Linked DNA regions of Arabidopsis thaliana. The protein of the gene in region 4 interacts with the protein of the main gene of each other region in a pairwise test. Each region holds a gene or a part of one and is shown on either strand. Other genes may lie near its edges.

Region 1 (5,017 bases), on a different chromosome or scaffold from region 4:
CCAAAATGATACCCTAGCTAGTTATTACATAACAAATAAGAAACTTACGATGACATTTTTGCAGACAGATGGCTTCAAAAGTCGGTTTATGAGCTGAGACATGGTCGAAAACCCTAAACTATGTTTGTGACTGGTCTTCAATCTTCAGAGTAATAAAGAGAGATGGCCTTGGGCACCAAGTTCACAATTAATAGAAGAATCTTTTTGGAGATGGACTCTTTTTCTAAGGAAATAAACAATAACCCATTTCATTTATAATGGAATGACTAATTATATATCGTCTTTAAGACTCTTAACAAAGAGAAGTTGTCTAGAAAAAAAAAAAAAAAAAAACACCACACAAATTTCCATTGAAAGTAGAGTAGAAAGGGTTTATATAGTAGCATAGAAAGAAAAGAAAAAAAACACCATAAATACTAATGAAAAAATATTTTAAATTTTATGAGTAGAGAGAAACTGGAGGTGGCCAGTAAGGGAATTCCAAGTTCCTTAATGGAACATCCTCTTCTGTGTAGAAAGTAGTGCAAGGTTTGGTGGTGAGATCATAAATACCAAAGTTATAGCCCACAAAATAGATGCAGTTAGGCTTGAGCCCGAACTGGCCTGGATACAGAAAGCCTCACTATGTCCAAGAAAGATGCAAAGATCTCCAATATCTTCTGTGTAATACACATACTTTTCCTCCCATGATTCCTCCGCTCTAAACACCATAAACTGTGATGCCATGTGCACGAGTGTTTCCACTTTGTTGTGATTGCGCATTAAGTTGTGGCCGTACCTAAAAACAAATGCATGGAAGAACAAATAAGATAACATGTTTCACCTCTCTTCTTGTGTTTGGTGAGGAGCCATTAAATCAAATTAAAATGTTGAGTAATTAACCTAATAGTTTGTATAATTGTTTATTCAAAAGCAATGTCTATAGTATATATACCACTTGACGAGGAATTGTTCACCGGAGGGTGACTCCACATAGTGATCCACCACAAAATAATGTAACAACACTCAAAATATGTGTTGTGATTTTGATTTGACGTGCGACTCTTTCGTCTTCCCCGTCTCTGTCTAGTGAATACCGAGGGTACTACACCTTAGGACATTAAATATACATATTTAGAGGATAACTTGTTTCAGGAAATAAATAATTATATAAGTTTTGTGCCAAAGTGTGTCTTACGTATATTAATTGAGAAATATGATGAATTAACCGAATTCGTTTAGATTCGCCTTCTTTTTTTTTTGGTAGGATAGATTCGCCTTCTTTTAAGGCACTAATATAAATTTCATTGAACATAGATTAAAAGAGAACATTGGATTTAAATGAAATCATGGGAAAGCAAAGACAGCGATAACATTAGCGAAACATAAACACGTGCAAGAGAGATAATTAATTAGGAGCTAGTACTGGAAAGGAAGCCGGAGGAGGCCAGTAAGGGAATTCCAATTTCCTTAATGGATTATCATCTTTTGTGAGGAACATAGTGCAAGTTTTGGTGGTGAGATCATAAACACCAAAGTTATAGCCCACAAAATAGATGCAGTTAGGCTTGAGGCCAGGGGACGAGCTAGCCGGGACGCAGAAAGCCTCACTATGTCCAACAAAAATGCAAAGATCTCCAATGTCTTCTGTATAGATCATCTTCTTAGTGTAGACACAACTCGGTTTCTCTCCCTCTTTAAACACCATGAACTTTTTTGTTACATTATACAGTGTGGTGTTGTCAATGTCCTCTAAATCCTCTCCATACCTGCAAAGACATGATAAAGCGCGCCAATATGATACTCAAGCAAAGGATTAGAGATTTTGGTATATATGTTATGAAGACAAAAGCTATATATAGCTTTAATTAGATAGTATACCACTTGACTAGGAAAAGTTGGCCGGTGGGTGACTCCACAAGGTGGTCTGTCCTAGAACATGTACTCACGTCGGCCAACTCTTGAAACACCGATTTTGGAAGATCGTCAAACTCCAATTCCACGAAATCAATTAGGTCGTCGTCCTCTGAGTGAGGATCCAAATAGCACAAGATGTTGCCTCCGGGAGTTGGAACGTAGAACTTTTTCTCTTTCTTGGAAAACATGATGCTCGATGAAGGGTTTATATTCTGAGGCTTGGTTTGGATGTTGATCCATTTACGGCTGCCAAAAGGCCTGCACATACTCAACTGAGATCCCAATAACTTGACAACAACTACCCAATTTTTGTCTCGTTTAGGTAAAGAGGACATGACCAGGCTTTGGATTTGTGAACCCGTCGGTAGAGGAGGTAGATCAACGGTCAAGTCTTCTATTTCGGGGTCAGTAGGCTTGTAAAAGATGGTGGGAGAACATACATCGCCGTGGTTGCCACAAAGCTCGACTCGCAACCCATCACGAGAAAACCCGACAGTCATCGCATCACAGACCTCCTCCTTAAGATCCTTGTCCTTAATCAAGACTTCCTTTTCATTACCGTAAACGTTTGTTGTTACGCGACCATCGGAGGAAGAGTTTGGGTTGTTTAGGATGTAGTCAATCAACAGAAACGGGAAGGCTGGTTTAGACGAGAAGGGCTGATTCACTTTAGTACTCGTGTGAGTTGCAGATGAGAACAGACGAACGTTTGCGTGTCTCTGCCATAGTTATGTTCAAGTATTCAGAGACAACAAGAACAAAATTAAAGTTAAAAAGAAAAAGCAAGAGAAGCTTACGTACGAGGAAATTTTTGCAGACAGAGGGTTTGAATATTCGGTTGATTATAAGCTTTGACATTGTTGAAACTCTTAACTATGTTATGTCTGTGTTTCCTCATATCTTCTTATGTCCGACTTATTATAGAGATTCTAGTATCCTTGCTCACCAAGAACTCGCTATAAATGCATATTTAATTAGAGAATAATTGGTTTAAGGAAATAACTCTTTAAGTTCGATTATCTTTGTGTAGTCAAGTCATGAATATTTTATAACTGTTACCTAAAAACAAGGATCACTAGAGAAAATGTCCTTCATACATAGGATACTTTTTTTTTCTTTTCCTTTTTCTTCAACAGAAATGGTTATTGTATTAGTTGTACTAATTATATAATTGGAAATAAAATATATTGAATCAAAAATAGGCCTTGTATATAAGTTACAAAATAAAAAGGTTAATGTCACTCTAGAAGCTGGACTGCACCTATAGAAGGAATTGTTTCCCTCAGTTTTTGAGTCAACGCGACACGAACAGTCATGACTCCAGCAGCTGGTCCAGTGAGTCGAACCTTGACCACGTAACCATCAATCTCAACTAACTCAAGCCCCCCACCTCCAGTACCGGATAGGTACGGCCTTAACTCAGAGAGAACCTAAATTGACAACAAACCAAAAAAGGACCATTCAGATCAATTTCAAAACCAAGGGGCTAATAAACCAAAAATAACTAAACCTTTAAAAAACCAAACCTTCTCAATGTTCTCATCGTTCAGCTCTAAACCTCCTGTCTCGGATTCAAGAAACTGCTCAACGGACATGATCTCTGGAATCTTGTCTCGAAGACGACTCTCGATTCCCATCTTCAACGTCATTGATGAGCTAGGACACGAACCACAAGCTCCTTGTAGCTTTAAAACCACCACAAGTCCGTCGATTTCGTGCAACGCCACGTTTCCTCCGTCGGCCATTAGAGATGGTCGTACTTCGTCTAACACTCTCTCCACATTCTCTTCCGTTAACGGCATGACGCAGCTCACGTGACCAAATACTAAACCAAACATAACAAGAATCTAAATCACAACTAAAGTTCTAAAGAGATTGGTCTGGTTTGCAAATCAAGTACCTGTTCGTTTTCTCAAAGGTCGAGTGTGTTGTAGCCAAGAAAAATGTATTCTTTGAAATTGACCCCTGAGGAATGTACTGCATTTGGAAGAGACCCCTAAAGTATCTGAAATTGCGTTCTAAACACAAGCGAAAGAGGAGAAGAAGAAATCAAGCAAAAGGAGTCATTTTTTTGGTGAAGCTCGACGAAGTGATAACAATTACCTTAGAATTGAGAAGCGACGAGCGGAAATTAGGGTTCTTCTCTGCTGTTGAGAGCGAGAGGTTCATCGTTGTAATTCGGGTTTGACCCGAAACAGAACCCATTTGGAACCTCACTTTTCTGCTTCACGATCGAGAGAGTTTCCAGAAATTGTGAAGATTTGGGGAATTCGGGTGGATCAAGTTTCTTTTTTTTTTTTCCCAGGAGATTCTGTAGCGAGAACAGAGTAAGAGTGGGAAAAAAAAAGAGAGAACTTTTCATTGGTGGATTGATGATGATATTGATACGTCTTGGAGATGATTTAATTTTGTGGCTAAGATTTTTTACTTTATTAATCAATACGACAGAACAGACTCCCAAAAGAAATATAAAATTAAAAAAAAATTGATTGTTCGACATGGGCTTCGCCTCTTATAAAGCCCAGCCCAAATATAGATAGACCCAAAAACGAGAATTGGATTCGGCACATCTAAGCAAGCCCATCCCAAATAGTATCATCAAGGGTAGAAGAAGAAATCTTCGGCTAATCTAATTTTTTTGTTTAGACTGATGATTTAAGAACATGAATTTTGCAAATAACCAATATCCAATTATTGTAGTTAACGCACTTTTATTTAATTACATTTAACAATTATTGTAATTAACGCACTTTTTTTATTCATGAATGCTAAAGTTACAAAACAATAAAACTGGTCAAGAGTCCAGTTTGGAACCCAACTAACTTTGTGTTCACCATGTGATGTCTCTCGGGAACATTAAGTATACTTTAATAAAGACAGTTTTAAGTTTTTTTTTTTAAAGGATGAGGATGATGAATGCAAGACTTTTATAGGGTCAAGCTTTCCGATTTGATGGAACCACAGAAACATGGAGTATTCCTTTCCATTCTTTGCCGGGGTTCACTGTGATCGGTTTCGCGACAGCCGCGCTTTCCACCGTTACAAAACGCTTATAGTCTTCAACTCCCAAATCGGATACTTTCTTATCCCATGGATTCCACACCACTGCACATTGTAATTA
Region 2 (6,219 bases), on a different chromosome or scaffold from region 4:
TGAATAGTTTCTCTTGATTTTGCTTTGCTAATGATTTGTCTTGGATGTTTGCATTGTAATCTTAGATCGAGAGACATTTTAAAATGCTTCATTGCCACCCTCATCCCCATGATTTTCAAGACACATCCCGGCCACTCCATTGCTCTTACTTCATGGGTCTGCAACGTAAACAAGGAGTTCCAGCAGCAGAAGGCGAGCAATTCGATATCAGAAGAACCGTTGAGGAGTTTAAACACACTGTCAACGCTTACACATTGTGGATTCCAGGGATGGAGATTAGTGTTGGCCATATAAAACGGAGAAGCTTACCTAATTTTGTGTTTCCTGGTGGAGTTAGACCTTCACATACCTCTAAAGGAACATGGGACAGCAATCGCCGTTCAGAGCACAGAAATTCTTCTACATCAAGTGCACCAGCTGCTACTACCACTACTACCGAAATGAGTTCTGAAAGTAAAGCTGGTTCTAACAGTCCAGTTGATGGGAAGAAGAGAAAATGGGGAGATAGTGAAACACTCACCGATCAGCCAAGGAACTCTAAACACATTGCTGTTTCAGTGCCTGTAGAGAATTGTGAAGGCGGGAGTCCAAATCCATCTGTTGGATCAATTTGTTCAAGTCCTATGAAAGATTATTGTACAAACGGTAAATCTGAGCCTATTAGTAAGGATCCACCAGAAAATGTTGTTGCTTTCAGTAAGGATCCACCAGAGAGTCTTCCGATAGAAAAGATAGCCACTCCTCAAGCTCATGAAACTGAGGAGCTTGAAGAAAGTTTTGATTTTGGAAACCAAGTGATTGAGCAGATATCTCATAAAGTTGCAGTCCTGTCTGCTACTGCAACTATACCTCCATTCGAAGCTACTTCAAATGGCTCTCCTTTCCCTTATGAAGCAGTGGAAGAACTTGAGGTTTCTTATTTTTCTTATCAATTTTCGATACATAAATTGTTCTCTTGATCTTATTCCTCCTGTCTGATTTCTCTTTTGTTGAAAGGTTCTTCCCACGCGACAGCCCGATGCGGCACATAGACCTTCAGTACAACAGCGAAAACCGATAATCAAGTAAGTGATTTTGTGTCTATGTTTACTCTTAACGTTTGAATATACATTTTTGGATTTTGACAAAGATTGTTTGTTTTTGTTTGTCTGATTATTCGCAGATTGAGCTTCACGTCTCTAGGCAAAACCAATGGCAAGTAATAATGGCTTTTCCCTACATTGCCAAGAATCTCAGAGCACTTACGGAAATTCGAGATGTTAAGTTGAGGGGTTCTTGTTACTTTATGTCTTATATTTATATGCTTTTCTTAGATGTTGCATGATCTCATGTAAAACTCGTTTGGATAAGATTAATGTAATGTGTTCTTGTCTATGGATCCCAAACACTTTTTCTGTCATAAATAAAAGTCTGGGTTGAGTTTACTTCACATATATATATAAATGCAGACTCAAACGTTAAAACATTGATTCTTAGTTACGTGCGTGTATGCTATATGCTAAATTACTCTCTACCTGTCTTAAATCTACCTAGGCAACAGAAAACATAGATTTCAAACTCTTGATTTCAATCACATAAATAGACCCAACAAAGAATATAAGATCTTAAAAAAAAAAAATTGTGATTGCTAAATGCAAAAACAACAAATATGAATCAAGTATCAGATGATACAGATCTCTATACAGCAAGGTGGCTTGAAAGATCTTGAGCTATCAGAAACCCGACGAGATACAAAAGTCTTTTAAGGCTTGCCATATGCTGCCTTCTTACAGACCGGACAAGCATTCTTCCTCGAAAGCCATTGTTTCACGCAATGGACATGAAAGCTGTGTCCACAGTTCAATTCCCCAACCTCATCCTCTCTCTCATACTCATCCTGTCACCATCAAACAATAAGGAATAGCATTATGAAACTCATGATCTGTCTGAAGTTTCGAGAAGCCATTGACTCAATCTGGAGTTTACCTGACAGATGCTACATTTTCTATCAACAAGAGTATGTGATACGGATGGTTTGATTTTCCCAAGACAACGATGTATCTCGCTTTCTTTTAGTCCAGTATTCACATAACCAATTCTATCACCAAGCTCAAGAAGTTGCTGCGTAGACCAAAGCAAACACACTCGATAAAGTTGAGAAGATGAGATTGCAAGTGTTTTTCTCATGAGATTTTGAAAAACATACCTCGTATGACATGCTATCAACATCGAGCCTCAATTCGTGGTAGTTATCACGGGAATCTGTTATTCTTCCCATTACAAAACCATTCTGGAGCATCCTCATCTGCAGTGAACAGCAGGAACATGACTACACTAGCTGCATGGTTTAGTTCTTTAACTTGCTCACTTGCTATTAGCCATCCAAAACAGTTTTACAGCACCATACAGCACCAAAGAGAACGATTACATTATTTGTCTTCCACTCTATCAGTCACTAGAATATGTAAGAGACAACTCTAGAATAATCTCTTAGTTGATATGAAGCCAAGTGACAAGTCAAACCTTAACATAGTGTTGAGTGTGATCAGTTAATAAACTAAGAAGTCAAATCTATAACATTTACCAGATGCAAGAAAGACAAGGCAACTATTTGGCAAGAACATTCTACCTCGGTAAGATCATCAGGGTAAGAGCGTGGAAGATGGCCACGACATCTACTTGACAACATCGTTGGTTCAGCGCGTGATGATGTCACAAAAGTAGAATCAGAGTTGAAGATATCATGAGAATGAGTTTCTTGATTGAGAAACCGAATGGGAAGAACAGAAGAACCCTGCAGAACATTTGTAGCATTGTGTTATCATTTCTCAAACACTTAGACATGATGATAGATTCCTAATTTTCAAGTCCTCTGAAGCAATGCGTTTCTTTGATCAAAATAAATCCAACAACTCCCCTAACCAATTGAATCCAACCAAAAAGAAACTTAAACAATGCTAAGATTCCATCCTCTAGCTAAACGAGACAAAAGCATGATAAGATTCCATTCTCTAACCAAACCAGAGTTCGATTAGTTTATTGAGCATCAAACCCAAAAGAACCACCCGCACGTCAAACAAAGAAATTTTCTATATTATCCTCACATGAAACAAAAACTAATAATAGAGAACCGCTACATCTAAAGTAGACCCTTATGATTTGTCTAAACGAGAATCCAAACACATATATTAATAAACCAAACCAAACTAACAATGGCCCAGCAATTGGCATAGAGCTAACTACAACCACTAGAGCTCCAACCACTCCACACAGTTTCTGCCTAAACGATACCATTTCCTCAAAGTCAAAGTCAATAACATAATAACACTAAATTCATCATCCAACTTTAGATCAATTTACCAGTGTGTGATTATAATTGTTGTTATCCACATCAATTTTGCGACGAGACGACGGAATATTCCTTCCCCGAGGAGGATCAACCGATCGACCAATTACAGCATCCGTGGAGAAGCCTAATCCAGGTCTGCACCAAACATCAATAACGTCTCTAGCTTCTTCGCTTAAAATCCTAATCGAACCATCTTCGTAGCTTCCTTTATTCTTCTTTTTCTTTTTCTTATGCTTATGCTTCTTCTTCTTCTTATCTTTTCTAATTCTGGCATCCAAATCCGCGGAGTAGCGAATGACGGAGGGAACAGAAACCTCTTGAGCTGCTGCTGCTGCTGCGGCATAGCAACCCATCCCTCGAAACGACGACGTTTGGTACGGTTTCTTCCTCGTGCTTTCGTTGGAGGAGGAAGTCGGGAGGGGAAAGAAGGAAGACATTGCGGAGTTACAGAAGCGATTAGGTTGTGAAATCGGAAGAACGACGTGGCTTAGCGGCGGATCATCGTCGGCGGCGTGGAGATGACGGATTGTTTGGTTTCTAGCTCGTCGGAGTCTGATGTGCTCGCCGATTGTTGTAGAAGACATTCTCAAAGAAAGAAAGTAAAGGAGATAATGGAAATGTGGGAGAGAGAGAGCGAGACACAGTGCGCGGGGAAGGATGAAAGAGAGTGATTTCAAGCTTGATGATGATGATGATACAGTTTTTGTATAATGATTATAGCTTTTCCTATATAATACTATTAAAGATTTTTTAGTTTTTGTTTTTACATGCAACCATTAGTATGAGATTCCAAACAAAATCAGCTCATGCATATCTTTTGTGAATACTACCAAATTAGAAATAATGATTTTATAAGAGATATTGTTTAGGTTAATTTGAGTATTTCTCTGGGTTTTTAACTTTTTTTGGGCAATTTAGTTTAATGATTTTGCTTATTTTTGGTTTTTCTATTCCAGAAAAGTAAATTTTAAAATTTTTAAAATGATGCTTGCTTGTAAAAATAGGAAAGGTGTCAGTCACTACATGACTCTTTTAAGTCGAAACAATCTTGTTAAATAAATAAAAAGAGAGAGAGTGATTAGATATTATTTTGGTAGAGATAAAGAAGAGACACAAAGTCCAGCTGAAACATCCTACGATAAGCTTAAACATCAAAAGACCACTTCTTTGGTTGGTTTTAATATTTGAACAATCCTCGTATACATAAAGTTGGCACTCTTGAGCTTTGAAGACATCCAGCAAAGCCTTGATGGTTGATGCTCATCGCCACGAAGCCTGAACCGTTTTCCTTTCCAATATTACATTATTGTCTACCAGACCCGGTTCAACCAAATCGAACCCGACTACATTTTTGTAACACGAAACCATCCGAGAACGTTGCAAAACTGATTCTAGCTTCATCATTAATAGGCTTTTAAGAGCCCAAAACTACAAATAATAAGCCCACTTCAAACTGATTTTATAGCTTCCACATTAATAGGCCTAATAATGGTCATTTGGATATTATTGAGAATGCAACAAATATAAATGTGAAACATTAAATCAAAGAAAGTCACGCCAAAATAGGTTATATACATATACTTTTAATTTGCATTTTATCAACAAAACTACAATTCAATTGAAAAGAAATTATAAATATTGTAGAAAATTATTTAAATACAAAAGGAAATTATGTAAAGTTAGGTGCATCTGCCACTTGTTGTTATTACCTTATTACAAAAAATGAAAGGAAAAGCTCTAAAGCTTGGCCCGCAAGTCACTTTAGTGTTGTAGCTATAAAAGGGAAGTTGACCTTGGGATAATCTACTCCTCTGCTCTCAACGTCATCTTCTATATTCTATAGTTTCTATTTGTCCTTCGTTCTCTGCTCATCCATCGATGGCGAATAATCATCATCCCAAGGATGAGGCTTATCTCTCATCCGTCATCCCCAAGCGTATCAGGCTCTTCGAGGAAATCCAAGCCGAGCAGCTTGAGCAGCTTCAATCTCGGCCACACGATCCAATCAAGTAAATACGTTTATGATTAATTGTTCATCATTTTCACTAGGGTGCATCAATTTGTTTGCTAAGCTAGGGTTTTGCAATTAGTTGATTTCTGGTTTTTGTTTCACTGCTTAGGATTACTCTTCTCCCCGACGGTATCGAGAAAGAAGGAAGGAGATGGGAGACCTCTCCAATGGACATCGCAGTGCAGATTTCTAAGGGTTTAGCAAAATCTGCTCTGGTTTCTTCGGTTAATCATGTCTTGTGGGACATGAATAGGCCCCTGGAAGGTGATTGTTCCTTAGAGATTTTCGGATTTGACAGCGACCAAGGCCGTAATACTTTCTGGCATTCTAGCGCCCACATTCTAGGCCAGGCTCTCGAGCAGGAGTATGGATGCAAGCTATGTATTGGACCCTGCGAACCCAGAGATGAAGTAAGAGCTTTGTTCTGTGTTTTTTCCCCTTAATTATGTTTCTTTGGCTAAAAGAGTAAAAAAAGGAGGAGTCAATATTGTTTGGTTCTTGGTATTTCATCTGTAATGTTGCAAAGACGGGCTATCTCTGATGGTAATTGTTATTGCAGGGCTTCTATTACGATTCACTTTATTATGGCGAGCTGGGATTAAACGACAATCATTTTCCAAACATCGAAGCAAGTGTTGCATATATATCTTTTGCTGACATCTTTTTTGTTTTGCGGTATGGAATGTAGAATTACCCATTAGAATGGCCGAATTTGGAGTGTTACACCGAAATGAGGACAGTGGAGCACTTGGTGGAATGACCCGTGTCCGACGGTTTGTACAGGTATGTTTGCATCTTTCTGGACTTTTCTTGTGGTAAAATGTTTAAAACTTAAAAATTGATTGCTTTATATAAAGACTAGCGACATTCAAAATGATAT
Region 3 (4,793 bases), on a different chromosome or scaffold from region 4:
TTTAGTGGTTAATTTCTGGGAAAAAATCCAACAGAATAATTTAGGGTTTTAGACATTTTACCACTAATTCGATCTGTTCTTTGGCTCTATCGACAAGAGCTCCTTCGTACTGAAGAATCTCCGGCGCCGCCTTCTCGTTACGCCACGCCCTCTTCAATAGCTCAACGTCCGATGTCGACATCAATGTTTCGTAATCCGCCGATCCTCCCGCTTCCGAATTCGACGCCATTAGATCAATGTACTAACGAATCTCTCTCTTTCTCTCCCCGCTTGAAAGACTCGGATCAGATCAATTTGCTCGAGCGGGAAATAAAAACATGTAACTGCGGGTTTGGCGCCAAATAAAAGGTCGAAGAAGAAGGATTTAGGGTTAATTAATTTATATTGAGCCTTTAGCAAATGTGTGGTTGAGAAATCGGTTTAGTTAATTTATATTATATAATATGAAACTCAGATCATTGTGTCCAATTTTGTTGTATTCAGGAAGTATCTATATAAAGGTATTGGCACTTGGCTTGATGTTACTACATGATGATAAGAGTCTAAAAGCCTTAGCTTAGCGCACATAATTGCAACTTAAATCTTCTGATTTGTTATAGTTGTCAATTAACCTCAAAATCAACTTAATCAACAAGCAAGTGACTGCAAATGTTTATAAGCAAAAACAATGTCAATTTCTTCGGCTTTTCCTCTTTGTTCTTTTTTAAATTCTTGCTCTTACTCTCATCGCAAATGTACATTCTTTCTAAGACCGAGAAGGCAAAAAAGATTCTCACTTCCCTGTCCCATCAAGTTGTTGTTTCAACCGGTGAAGGTGTAATAACTAACTACTAGTTCAGTGATTTCTAGACAACAAAAGACGCTATAACTGAATAATCTTTGTTTGATCTTGACAAGAAAACAAAAATGAAGAAGGAAATGAAGCCAGTTGCATTTTGAAATAATATGGTAAGAAGAATCCCATCATTAAGTTATTACAACATAGAAAGCAATTATCTGTAAGCTAGCTAGACAATCAAATGTGTGTGCCTCGTATGGCAATCATCATCAAAGAGTAGCAGCAAGAGCACCCACAAAGTTATAAGAGCTAGGTACCGTAAGCATATCATCAAACCACTCAACCTTTCCCCTAATACCCTGATTCTTGCATCTCTCAAGGGAAACCACCGCACACGAAATCGAATGACTCTTATTCCCACTACAAGGGATATACTTGTCCCACAAAAGAGCCATCTTTCCACCATAATCCGCTAACTTAACACAGCTACTAGCAAGCTTAGACAATCCCTTCAAACCCCTCAACTTCCTCCACGATCTTTTCTCTGATTCATACCATTTGATTCCACCAGGACGATAACAATACAGTACATTATCTATCACGCAATAAGAATGAAAAAACAATCCCAAATCCATACTCTGATGTTCTCCTACACCTCCCCATCTATCTTCTTTAGGCTTGTAAGTCACAACCTTATCCCCAAAAATGTAGATTTCTCCTTCAATCACCAAGCTCCTATATATAAATCTCTCCGCTAAAGGGCTTAACACAAACTCCCAAGTTTGAGTCTTTATATCGAAAACCTCCATCCATTTAGATGAATCAAACTCTTCCAAGCCTCCTGCTACATAAATCTTCCCATCAACAACATTAGCAGCTGGATAATTCCGCTTCATCCTCATGCTTGGTGCCTCGTGCCATGTATGAGACCTGCAGTCTAAAATTGAGACTTTAGAAGAGGGTGCATTCTCAATGGATCCACCAATGGCATAGATGTTAGACCCAATAGCAACGATACTCGAACTATGTGAATGGTGATTTGGGATTGGGGCTAAAACAAACCCGCTTGAGTTCTTTGTCTTCTCGGTGATGTTTTGGTTAGGTTTTCGGTAGAGTGTAAACCAACGTGGGTTAGGGTCAGGAGGGAAATCTAAGCATACATAGAGACAACTCTCCGTTCGGTTGAAGAAAGATCGAGTCTTGTATAGCTCCGGCGAAGTAACGAGGGTTCGAGAGCTCTTGGAGACTAACGAGAGAATTGGGTAGTACAATCTAGAGACTCGGGCTAAGATGCTCACAATCAAATCATCGGGAAGTGACGGGTTTGGGGTCGATTCCGGTGACGGTTCAAGCGACCGTTTCTTCCTCTTCCTCTCTGGAGACGACATTGGCGAGATTAGTCGATTTCTTCTGCTTCTACTCCGACTTGCAGATTTTCATTGAATCTTAGTGGGCCTTTAGAAATTATCTAAATAATTTGCATTGAATCTTAATGGGCCTTATAGAATTATCTAATTCATTTGTATTGAATCTTAATGAGCCTTAAAACAATAGTTTTGAGTCACCACAAATTTCTACAACACAACTCAAAATTACCAGTAGAGGACCAAAAATTCGTCAAATATATATATTTTGTTACACTTATTTCTTCCTATGAAGCTAGTAATCACGTATGTTCAACAACAAAAAAAAAGTCTTTCAAATGCATCATAGTGGTCAATGGCACAAAATAAGTTAACCCTTCAAAATTTCAACAAAATTCAAAAATGACAGTAGAGCTTTGGACATATGATCAATTTAATTTTCTGTGCATAATGGAATCTAACTTGAATTGAATCATAAAAAATAGAGAGTATATAATTGGATAATAATAGTGTTCGATTGAGAAGAAAAGAAAGAGTGGCTTGACAAGTCCACCCGTATTTTCACACAAGATCCTCAAATTGTTACAGTAGCAATTTCTTTGTAGGTTAGGTTGGCTACAAGTACAAGACATGAACATAAGCCTCAGTTTAAACAACAAAACAAGCACTAACTGTGTATCTTGTTCTAGCTCTTATCGTGAAATGTAAAGATAACAGTACTTTTCTATGCAAGACAAACAAAAGTATTCTCATAGACAAAGTAAGCTTAAACAGTCTACAAGTGAGTGCATATGTTTAGAAGTGAAACAATATCCGCTAAAAGCATGAGAGAAGCATTCATCATAGTCACATAAATATAGGCATTTTGCAACACAACATTCAGAGCAAAAAACAGTAGGAGAAAGAGTTTGGCATCAAAGGAATTATCAAAGAGACAGTCACAAAATAAGCTTAATCATCTACAAGCAAGTGAGTGCAGGTGTTTGTAAGGCGAAAACAATGACAACTGCATTCCGAAAAAGATACAAGACATTCTTTCAACTGTGACATACTAAATAAAAGAAGCTTCGTACCTATGTCCTGAGTCATCAATCAAACAGTAGCAGATTTAGCACAGACGAATTTATAAGACTTAGGGACTGTAAGAACCGCATCAAACCACTCGACCTTCCCCCAAATCTCTTCACTGTTGCGCTTTTCAAGCGAAATCTCTGCACACCAAATCATCTTCTCCTTATACCCACTTGCAGCTACATACTTGTCCCACAAAACAACCAGCTTCCCGCCATATTCCGCTAATTTAACAGTACTATATCTAGCAAACTTAGGTAGCCCTTCTAAACCCTCTAATCTGCTCCAGTCTCCTTCCGCAGTGTTACAATTCATCCATCTAAACTTCCCACTAGGGTCATAACAATAGGCTATGTTCCCTATCATACAAAAAGAACCCCTATCCAAATTCGTACCCAATCCTACCGCTTCCCATGTCAAAACCTTTGGGTTTAGAGCCACAGCCTTCCTATGATTCTCTTGACAAGGGGGTATGTAAATCTTTCCTTCCATATTTCCGAATTTGAGTTTTCGTTTTTGGGGAGGCACGGGATTCCAAGTCTGAGTATTTGTGTTGTACACTTCAACACAGTTCAAAGAATCTGGCTTTTCAGAGCTTCCTGGGAAATACGTCCTCCCATTAAAGTCACTATTGATGTGAGCCAGTCGCAATCTTGGAGAATCAAGCCAAGTGTGCGTTCGACAGTCAAGGTACCAAACGTTAGAGCATGGAGAATCTTTGATGTCTGCGGTAATGGCGTACAGATAAGAACCAACAGCGACTAGACTTGACCATTCCACAGTTGGAGAATTGAGAATTGGAATTGGAGCCAAAAGATGAACACTTGAATCCTCTTTCTTCTTCTTCTTCTTAGTTAGGGTTTGATTAGGCTTCCGGTAGAGAATCAACCAACGAGGATTAGCTTCATCAGGGAAGCGTAGGCAGACATAGAGAAAAGTCTCGGGTTTGCCTAAGAGGGTTCGGGTTTTGTAAAGCTCCGGTGAAGTAAGGATTGATCGGAAGGTTTTTGAGACTACGGAGAGATTTGTGTAATACGATCTCGAGACGCGGGCTAAGATGCTCACTATCAAATCTTCTGGAAGTGACGGATTTGGGGACGATTTCTGATTCTTCTTCCTCTTCTTCTCTGGAGACGACATTGGCGAGAGATTAGTCGATTTCTTCTGCTTCTTCTCCGACTTGCAGATAACACAAACGCAGGGAGGGAGGAATTTAGGGATTTGACACTCTCACTTCACTGCTAGTGAACACAAACGCATGGGCCTTATAGAAATGATAAAAAAAATCATTTTCATTGATTCTTAATGGGCCTTAAAACAATAGTGGATTTTGAATCATATTCTGTAACCTATTATTCATTGAATCACTTAAGCAAGTAAAGCAACAATTTCGTTTTGTGTGCATTTGTAGGAAATCTAACTTGATTTGAACTATGAAAAAAATTAAGGAGTAATATCAATGGAAAATGAGTTAACTGAATTGTAATGACTATGTTCGACTGAGAAGAAAATAAACAATAAATAGCTTGACAAATTCAAGTTCCCGAGTCATCGAATCAAAGAGTAGCAGCAGTAGCACA
Region 4 (6,419 bases):
AGCATGTTACCTCTCCTTTATCAAACAAGTGATACTCATCATCATCAGCATGTCCAAGAACAGGAGCGATTACTCCATCATCATCAAGACCCCCAAGTTCCATATCATCCAGATTTTGTCCAAAAAACTCATATTGTGATGCATCAAAGAGTGTACTGTTTTTATCTGCAGATACAAAAACAGCTGTTTCAGAATCCAACATTACAAACACATGACCATAAAAATCTAGACTTTAACAATTCAAGGGATTAACACAACATCTCTAAAGACAAGTTTTTTAGTATCCAAACTGGTCTATCATTTGTGCATTGGAACACAACATCGAAAACTAAGCAAACCCATCAGATCCCATTAGAACATTAAAGATGCTATATAGCTCAGTGACCTAAATCATACATAGCATAAATCTCCAACATTTATGTGCTTAAACAAACCAAGCAATACACAAAACCGAATCCAAAATCAGCTATAAGCAGCAAAATCATAAAAGAGAAAGAAAGAAACATCCTTTAAGAAGAAGACTGACCTAAGGAAGAAGCGCGAACAAAGTTATACAAATCCCTTGAATCAGATCTCTCCATGATCGAAATAAACGAAACTTTAGAGGTAAGAGAAGATAACAGAAGAGGACATAAGAGAGAATCCTCTTCCCCTAGGGTTTCAGATAGGTGGTGCTTTGTGAAGGAGATAGAACAACAAAATTCGAGGTGGGTAAGTGAAATCAGCAGAGATTGCTGCTAGGGTTTTCGAATTGATAAAACAAAGAAACGCAAGTAAAGTTGAAGAAGGAGAAATCTATAAAACTCTCTCCGCGATAAAAAAGAGAGAGAGAAGGGCAATGAAGAGAAGGGGAAGGGAAGAAGAAAGCAATGGCCTTTATTTGTTCTTGTTCTGTTTCCTTGGCCGTGTGTAACATCGACACATGACCTGACCTTTTGCCCAAACCCAAATAAAAATCCAAACTTTTTTTTTTGATTTTTTTTCCTATTTTGTTAGTATGATAATAAAATTAGTCTTAAATCATTAATTGGTTCAAAAAACTTTAAGTGTAACATATTTACTACAATTAATTATAAGCAAATTAAAATTAATTTATGTAAATTTTGTTCTGAAAATATAGTTTTTGATTTTTTCATACTAAATCCACTGCCTAAATGATATGCATCATATGCTTATATGAGTCAAAGAAAAAAGTGTGATGCTTTATGTCCGATCCCATCCCACTGATTCTTTTATGATCTTGAGGTTTAAGACCCATTACTTTACTTGTTCCAAACTCAACCAAAATCAATTTTAAAAATATTGAAAAGACATAGACTTTATTTATATATAACTCAACGACACGTTTACTTGGTCCATGTGATTGCATTTCATCCCGGTCGGTTCAAATTGATCTCATTATGGTCCATTTTTTGAAAGTATCACAACCAATATTTTGATGATGATAGTTTTATTTTCGTTATGATTCATCATTTCCATGTAAAAACTTAGGGATAAAAAGTCAATATACATGATTATAAATGTATTTAAAATAATATATCTATGTTTACTCTTTTCTTTTACAATGATAAAGCATACAACAAAGTAAGGTTATCTCAAAGTTGCACAAATAAATCTGAGGAAAGTGGTATACATTATACAAATGGAGATGAACTTTAAATCCAATACTAGAAGAGCCAATGCTTCCTTCTCGGTTTTCTTGTTGGAACATCTGGAAGAGCAAGAACTACTCAGATTGAGATTCAGAAAGCCATGGAGATAATTAGTGATGATAATAATTTACTTTAAAAGCAGAGTTGAGTGCAGGAAACTGAGTTTTTTACCTCCATTAGCGTATAAAGAATTGTAATGCACTTCGCTCCAGAAGCTGAGCCAAGCCTCTGCAGTACAACAAAAGGATTCAAGACGGTTAGGAACGAGTAAACTTGGCCTAGAGCATAAAGGTAGAAAGAGGGCTTTGTACCTCTAAGAGGGTTCTTGTTATGAGGAAGAATCTCGATGTAGGATTGATCCCGAAAGGATGTGACTAAGCAGATCTTGGCTTCGAACTGCAGTAATGCTGAGTCAGCCAGTCATTCAAGTAAAAAAAGTAACGAAATGTGAGCGAATAAAGGTAAAATTTGTTGATGAGTCTTCAAGATGCAGTTGCTCAAAGAAGATCTGATCTTTAAGGTATGTTTGTAAAACTTTTGTAGTCTATTATAGTAAACTCAAAGGATGGTATCTCTTTGAAAACTTACTCTATCCGCTGCAGCTTGAAGAGTAACATGATCTCCCCATTCACCATGTCTAGTCGCGTCCAAAATGTATCAGCAAAAGAATGAATCGGAGAATAATTTATCACTCGTTGACACTATCAAAAAAAATAAAAATGTCTCACTTTTTCATCTTCCTGGTGTAGTGTCTGTATTTCATTGGCACATATTCTTCGTATAACTTCCGTTGTTGTTTTAACTGAAAAATGCAAATGCTAAGTCAGAATAATTGCAGTAAACTATAAAGTAGTATGTGGCCAAAACTAAGGAAATAGGTGTTTTGATGGGAACTTCAGGAAGTGAGCTAACTGCTAAAGCCGAGAAAAAAAGTTTCAGAGATTGAAAGCCAGTCAACAGAGACAGGAAAGACAGCTTGAAGGGTGTTGCTGAGGAATTTTCAGAAGAAGCACGAGTTTATGAAAGAGAGCCAGTATATATGATTAAACACATTCATCCCTGAAGGCGCTGACTAAAGAATCGGACATTTGTGAACAAGAAAATGAGATGCGTTATGGTTCTCAGGCAGTACCTGCTTTACAACATGCTTCCTTACATGTTTATGGTAATCTGCATTGCGGAAAAGCTGGTCTGCTAAAGCTCGAAACTGGCAAACAAGTATAACAATATGACAAAGCAAATCAATACAAAGTCTTTTGAAGAGTCCACACAAGGTCTATATGGATGTTCCTTTCAACGTACCTGGCAATTTCCATCTCCCTCCATTTGCAATTCCGCTAAACCATATGTGGCCAACCTGAACAAAAAAGAGAGACCATTAAAGATGTTTCTAGATTGAAAACAACTAGCTATTCTATCGACAATGAACAATCTAATCAGCATCAAATGAAGAATGCAGTCAAGGAAATGAAAGACGATGACACTAAAGGAAACGTTGATAAGAAGATGAGAACCTCCCAGAGAGCAGCTCATGGTCTAATGTTGCATCATTTATATCAGGTATCTCCCTGTTAACCCGAGGAGTGTGCTGCCAATAAAAAATTCCACAAGATATTCAAAGAACTTGTCACCAATAGACACTAACAACAACAATGAATAGCACAGATCCAAGCCTAAATGTGAAGATTAAGCAAAAGAAGCTTATCATACTGGGATAGAATCCAAATGAGATAATCTCTTCCCAAGCTTGCCTTCTCTTCTCAAGCTCTCATCTTCAGCTAATATACGTGCAATGGTCTGATCATCATCTGTATCCGCCACACTGCTACTAAAACTCGAGTTTGAGCTCGCACTTGTACTGCCGCTTGCTCTAGCACTTGTACTTGCATTTGCAAATGGATTCCTATGGTTTTCATCCATTGTATTTGGATCCTATACTAAATACAACCTAGGAAGCAAGACAGAGACTACCTCTGATCAGTTTAAAACGAAAACCATAATCTTGAGAAACTAGTATCAATCCAATACCATTAAGCAACCAAATCCAAAAGGTATATCAACCTAAAATGTTGTAATCTGTAACAAAAGAAGACAACTTTCGATTCAATCACACAAAACTACAGAAACCCAGATCAAAGATCACACTGAATAAACCCAAATTCAAAAGAAACCCAAAACAATCTCAAATTCTTGAAACGTTACCCACTACTGGAAACGTAATTCTCTGAGATTCAAAATCCTAAAGTTGAGCAAACAAAAAGTTGAGATAATTACCAACAAAATCTGGTTGCTTGACTTGGCAAGCTCAATTTTTCGAAATCGATCAGCTAAAGCAAGAGGGGGAGAGAAATCGTTGAAGAAAAGAAAGAGGCACCTAAGAGACAGATAGAGAGAGACGTCAGCTACGGAAGAAGCTAAAGAAGGTTTCCTTTTTCCGATGCGATTGATTTACTACTGCAGACAAATAAAAATGGATACTTTCGTTTCGTCGGTCTCAGAGATGTTTTCTTCTTCGTCAGATTTCCTCAAGACTTCTTTTTTTTCTTCTTCTTCTTTGGCGGGTCAAAGAAAACGTCACCGTTGCGTGTCGTTTTAATTATTTTTTCCGCGTTTTCTAATTAATTTCAGTAATCCTTTTTTATTTGTTTGTCAGAAAAATATTATTGCTTTAATTATTAGTGTATTTTATTTTTTTCTGCAAAAGAAACGACCTTAAAAATAATGCATAAAGTGAGTAACAAAAATTTTAAAATAATAAAGGATGCTGAAAAAAATAAAAAATAAAAATAATACATAAATAAAATAGAAAGAAAACAATTATAAAACTATAGTTAATTATCTAATAAAGTTAGTTACTAATATGATATTTTCTTGTTTGATGTAAAAAAAAATCAATGATGCATTAAATAAACTAGAGAATCTATATACTACAATCTATTTATGATTATATAAAGGCGTATGAGGAAAACGTTGTCCAATATAATGTCGCTATTTTTTCTCTTAATTTTGTCAACTACTTTTAATTCTTTCAACTTTAAGATGATTGACATGCGTGCACCATATAAGACCAGATCAACTTAACTAATCTTATTGAATATGATGGCTGAATACTGATGGCTCTCCAAAGAAATTTGTCTCCATTTAAAATAAATAAATTGGTCACTAGAGTCAAATATATTCGTTAATATGGTTAAAATGCTTTCATACCAAATGTTTAACCAAATAAAAACTACAATCGTTGAATCAAAACATCATTGATTCAAGTTGTTCGAAAACACTATACATTTTCAAGTGCTTATTTTGAAGTTAAAACAATGAAAATATAAATATTATGACATCGACACTCTTCGCTCGTCTAATTAAGCTCGTTTTTTAAAAATGTAAAATTCATTTCCGAACTCAAACGAGCTTCATTCCCCATTGCTCTGTCTCTTAACTTCCTCAATCTCTCACCCATATCTTGATCCTCCATTACTTTCCTTAGTCCATCTTCAACCTCCTTCTCTCCAAACCCGCTCAATCTCACTCCAATCTTCCAAACGTCCACGATGTATTTACAGTTAACAAACTGGTCTCCGGCCACCGGATAACATAGTAGCCTCCGGGAACTTGCCACTGCCTATTATTGTACAAGCAATAAATCAAAATTTAATACACATATTGTATAAAGTTAATTTATATAGTAGATACCATAATCATATAATACATGCTAGATTTTACTAGTGTATATCAATATGTTACATGTACCTCCATAGTCGAGTTCCAGCCACAATGAGTCACGTAACATCCCACAGAATCGTTTCTAAGAACTTCAAGTTGCGGAGCCCATGAGACGATCCTTCCTTGGTTTTTGGTAATTGTGACTCTATGCACAAAACCTGGTGGTAGTCCCTCTTGCCACACTCGGTTTAACGCCCAAAGGAAAGGTCTCCCTGACGCTTCCAACGCCAATGCCAACGTTTGAATATTTGATTCTCCTATAGGAGAAACCCAACTTCCAAATGAGATATAAATGACTGAGTTCGGGTTTTGTTCTTGAAGCCAACCTAGACAAGACATGTCTTCTTCCCAAAAACTAGTCTTGGTTATAGTTATATTATTTGTTGCTTCTTGGTTATGCAATGGACCTAAATGAAGGATTTGAGGGTTTTGACCATTGTTTTCTTTGTTTAAATCGTTAGATTTTTTGTAGGATGCTTTGTGGTTGTCGACATCTTCATATTCATCTTTAAAGGAGCTTGTCAAGATCCAACGGAGACTTTTTGTTCGTTCTAGAGTTCTTTGCCAGAACTTGAATCGTTTTTTCTGAGCTTTGGGAGTTCCGATCAGCCACGGTAGATCTTCTGCGGATAGGAGCGGTTGCTCTGGCTGGACTATTGTTTTTTCTAGTTGACGAGGACAACCTGCACATCAATGTTACAACTAACTGTAATTAATATGAAATAATGTAGTAACCATAAAAATATGACCAAAAAAAAAAATATTACAACAAAGGGAGGATAAAATAACGAAAGACATGCAAAAAATATGTTTTCAAACTTAATTAGATTTGGAAAATTGCTTCATCAAATTAATATCAGATTAGTGTGGGTTTTTCTTGTTCATATGGTTAGATTCATGGTTCCCACTTCCAACTAAAAGTTTGACTTAACAGTTTTCATGTTGTATATATGACCAAAACTATGATATATATGTGGATATCATTGAGTGATCCAATAATAAAACTCCTTTCTAATTTGAGTCATGACTTAAAACTTCGTAAGACTT

The links.
Region 1: the proteins of AT3G22260 (region 4) and AT4G25920 interact in a two-hybrid assay, tested with the Arabidopsis thaliana proteins (one large-scale study listed by BioGRID).
Region 2: the proteins of AT3G22260 (region 4) and AT1G17970 interact in a two-hybrid assay, tested with the Arabidopsis thaliana proteins (one large-scale study listed by BioGRID).
Region 3: the proteins of AT3G22260 (region 4) and AT5G49000 interact in a two-hybrid assay, tested with the Arabidopsis thaliana proteins (one large-scale study listed by BioGRID).

The regions. Positions count from the first base shown.
Region 1 is NC_003075.7:13,163,212-13,168,228, reverse strand, and holds AT4G25920 (hypothetical protein (DUF295)), read right to left. Parts: upstream 2,755-5,017; coding exon 2,698-2,754; intron 2,616-2,697; coding exon 1,861-2,615; intron 1,749-1,860; coding exon 1,388-1,748; 3' UTR 1,357-1,387; downstream 1-1,356. Other genes in the region: AT4G25930 (hypothetical protein (DUF295)), read right to left, coding at 49-102; NFU3 (NFU domain protein 3), read right to left, coding at 3,135-3,326, 3,423-3,721, 3,797-3,914, 4,000-4,101; AT4G25900 (Galactose mutarotase-like superfamily protein), read right to left, coding at 4,832-5,001.
Region 2 is NC_003070.9:6,182,725-6,188,943, reverse strand, and holds AT1G17970 (RING/U-box superfamily protein), read right to left. Parts: upstream 4,228-6,219; 5' UTR 3,913-4,227; coding exon 3,340-3,912; intron 2,774-3,339; coding exon 2,609-2,773; coding exon of another isoform or gene 2,537-2,608; exon of another isoform or gene 2,285-2,536; coding exon 2,186-2,284; intron 2,101-2,185; coding exon 1,966-2,100; intron 1,877-1,965; coding exon 1,742-1,876; 3' UTR 1,471-1,741; downstream 1-1,470. Other genes in the region: PAPS1 (poly(A) polymerase 1), read left to right, coding at 66-911, 997-1,064, 1,163-1,202; AT1G17960 (Threonyl-tRNA synthetase), read left to right, coding at 5,207-5,337, 5,449-5,749, 5,899-5,971, 6,028-6,122.
Region 3 is NC_003076.8:19,861,900-19,866,692, reverse strand, and holds AT5G49000 (Galactose oxidase/kelch repeat superfamily protein), read right to left. Parts: upstream 2,284-4,793; 5' UTR 2,167-2,283; coding exon 1,048-2,166; 3' UTR 868-1,047; downstream 1-867. Other genes in the region: SLD5 (DNA replication protein-like protein), read right to left, coding at 62-229; AT5G48990 (Galactose oxidase/kelch repeat superfamily protein), read right to left, coding at 3,235-4,353; AT5G48980 (Galactose oxidase/kelch repeat superfamily protein), read right to left, coding at 4,770-4,793.
Region 4 is NC_003074.8:7,868,642-7,875,060, reverse strand, and holds AT3G22260 (Cysteine proteinases superfamily protein), read right to left. Parts: upstream 4,226-6,419; 5' UTR 3,927-4,225; exon of another isoform or gene 3,601-3,926; 5' UTR 3,573-3,600; coding exon 3,363-3,572; intron 3,241-3,362; coding exon 3,167-3,240; intron 3,010-3,166; coding exon 2,955-3,009; intron 2,860-2,954; coding exon 2,785-2,859; intron 2,455-2,784; coding exon 2,381-2,454; intron 2,290-2,380; coding exon 2,241-2,289; intron 2,049-2,240; coding exon 1,964-2,048; intron 1,881-1,963; coding exon 1,824-1,880; intron 1,727-1,823; coding exon 1,668-1,726; 3' UTR 1,464-1,667; downstream 1-1,463. Other genes in the region: AT3G22270 (Topoisomerase II-associated protein PAT1), read right to left, coding at 11-165, 527-581; AT3G22250 (UDP-Glycosyltransferase superfamily protein), read right to left, coding at 5,008-5,271, 5,400-6,055. UniProt on the Arabidopsis thaliana protein: Hydrolase that can remove conjugated ubiquitin from proteins in vitro and may therefore play an important regulatory role at the level of protein turnover by preventing degradation. Inactive cysteine protease.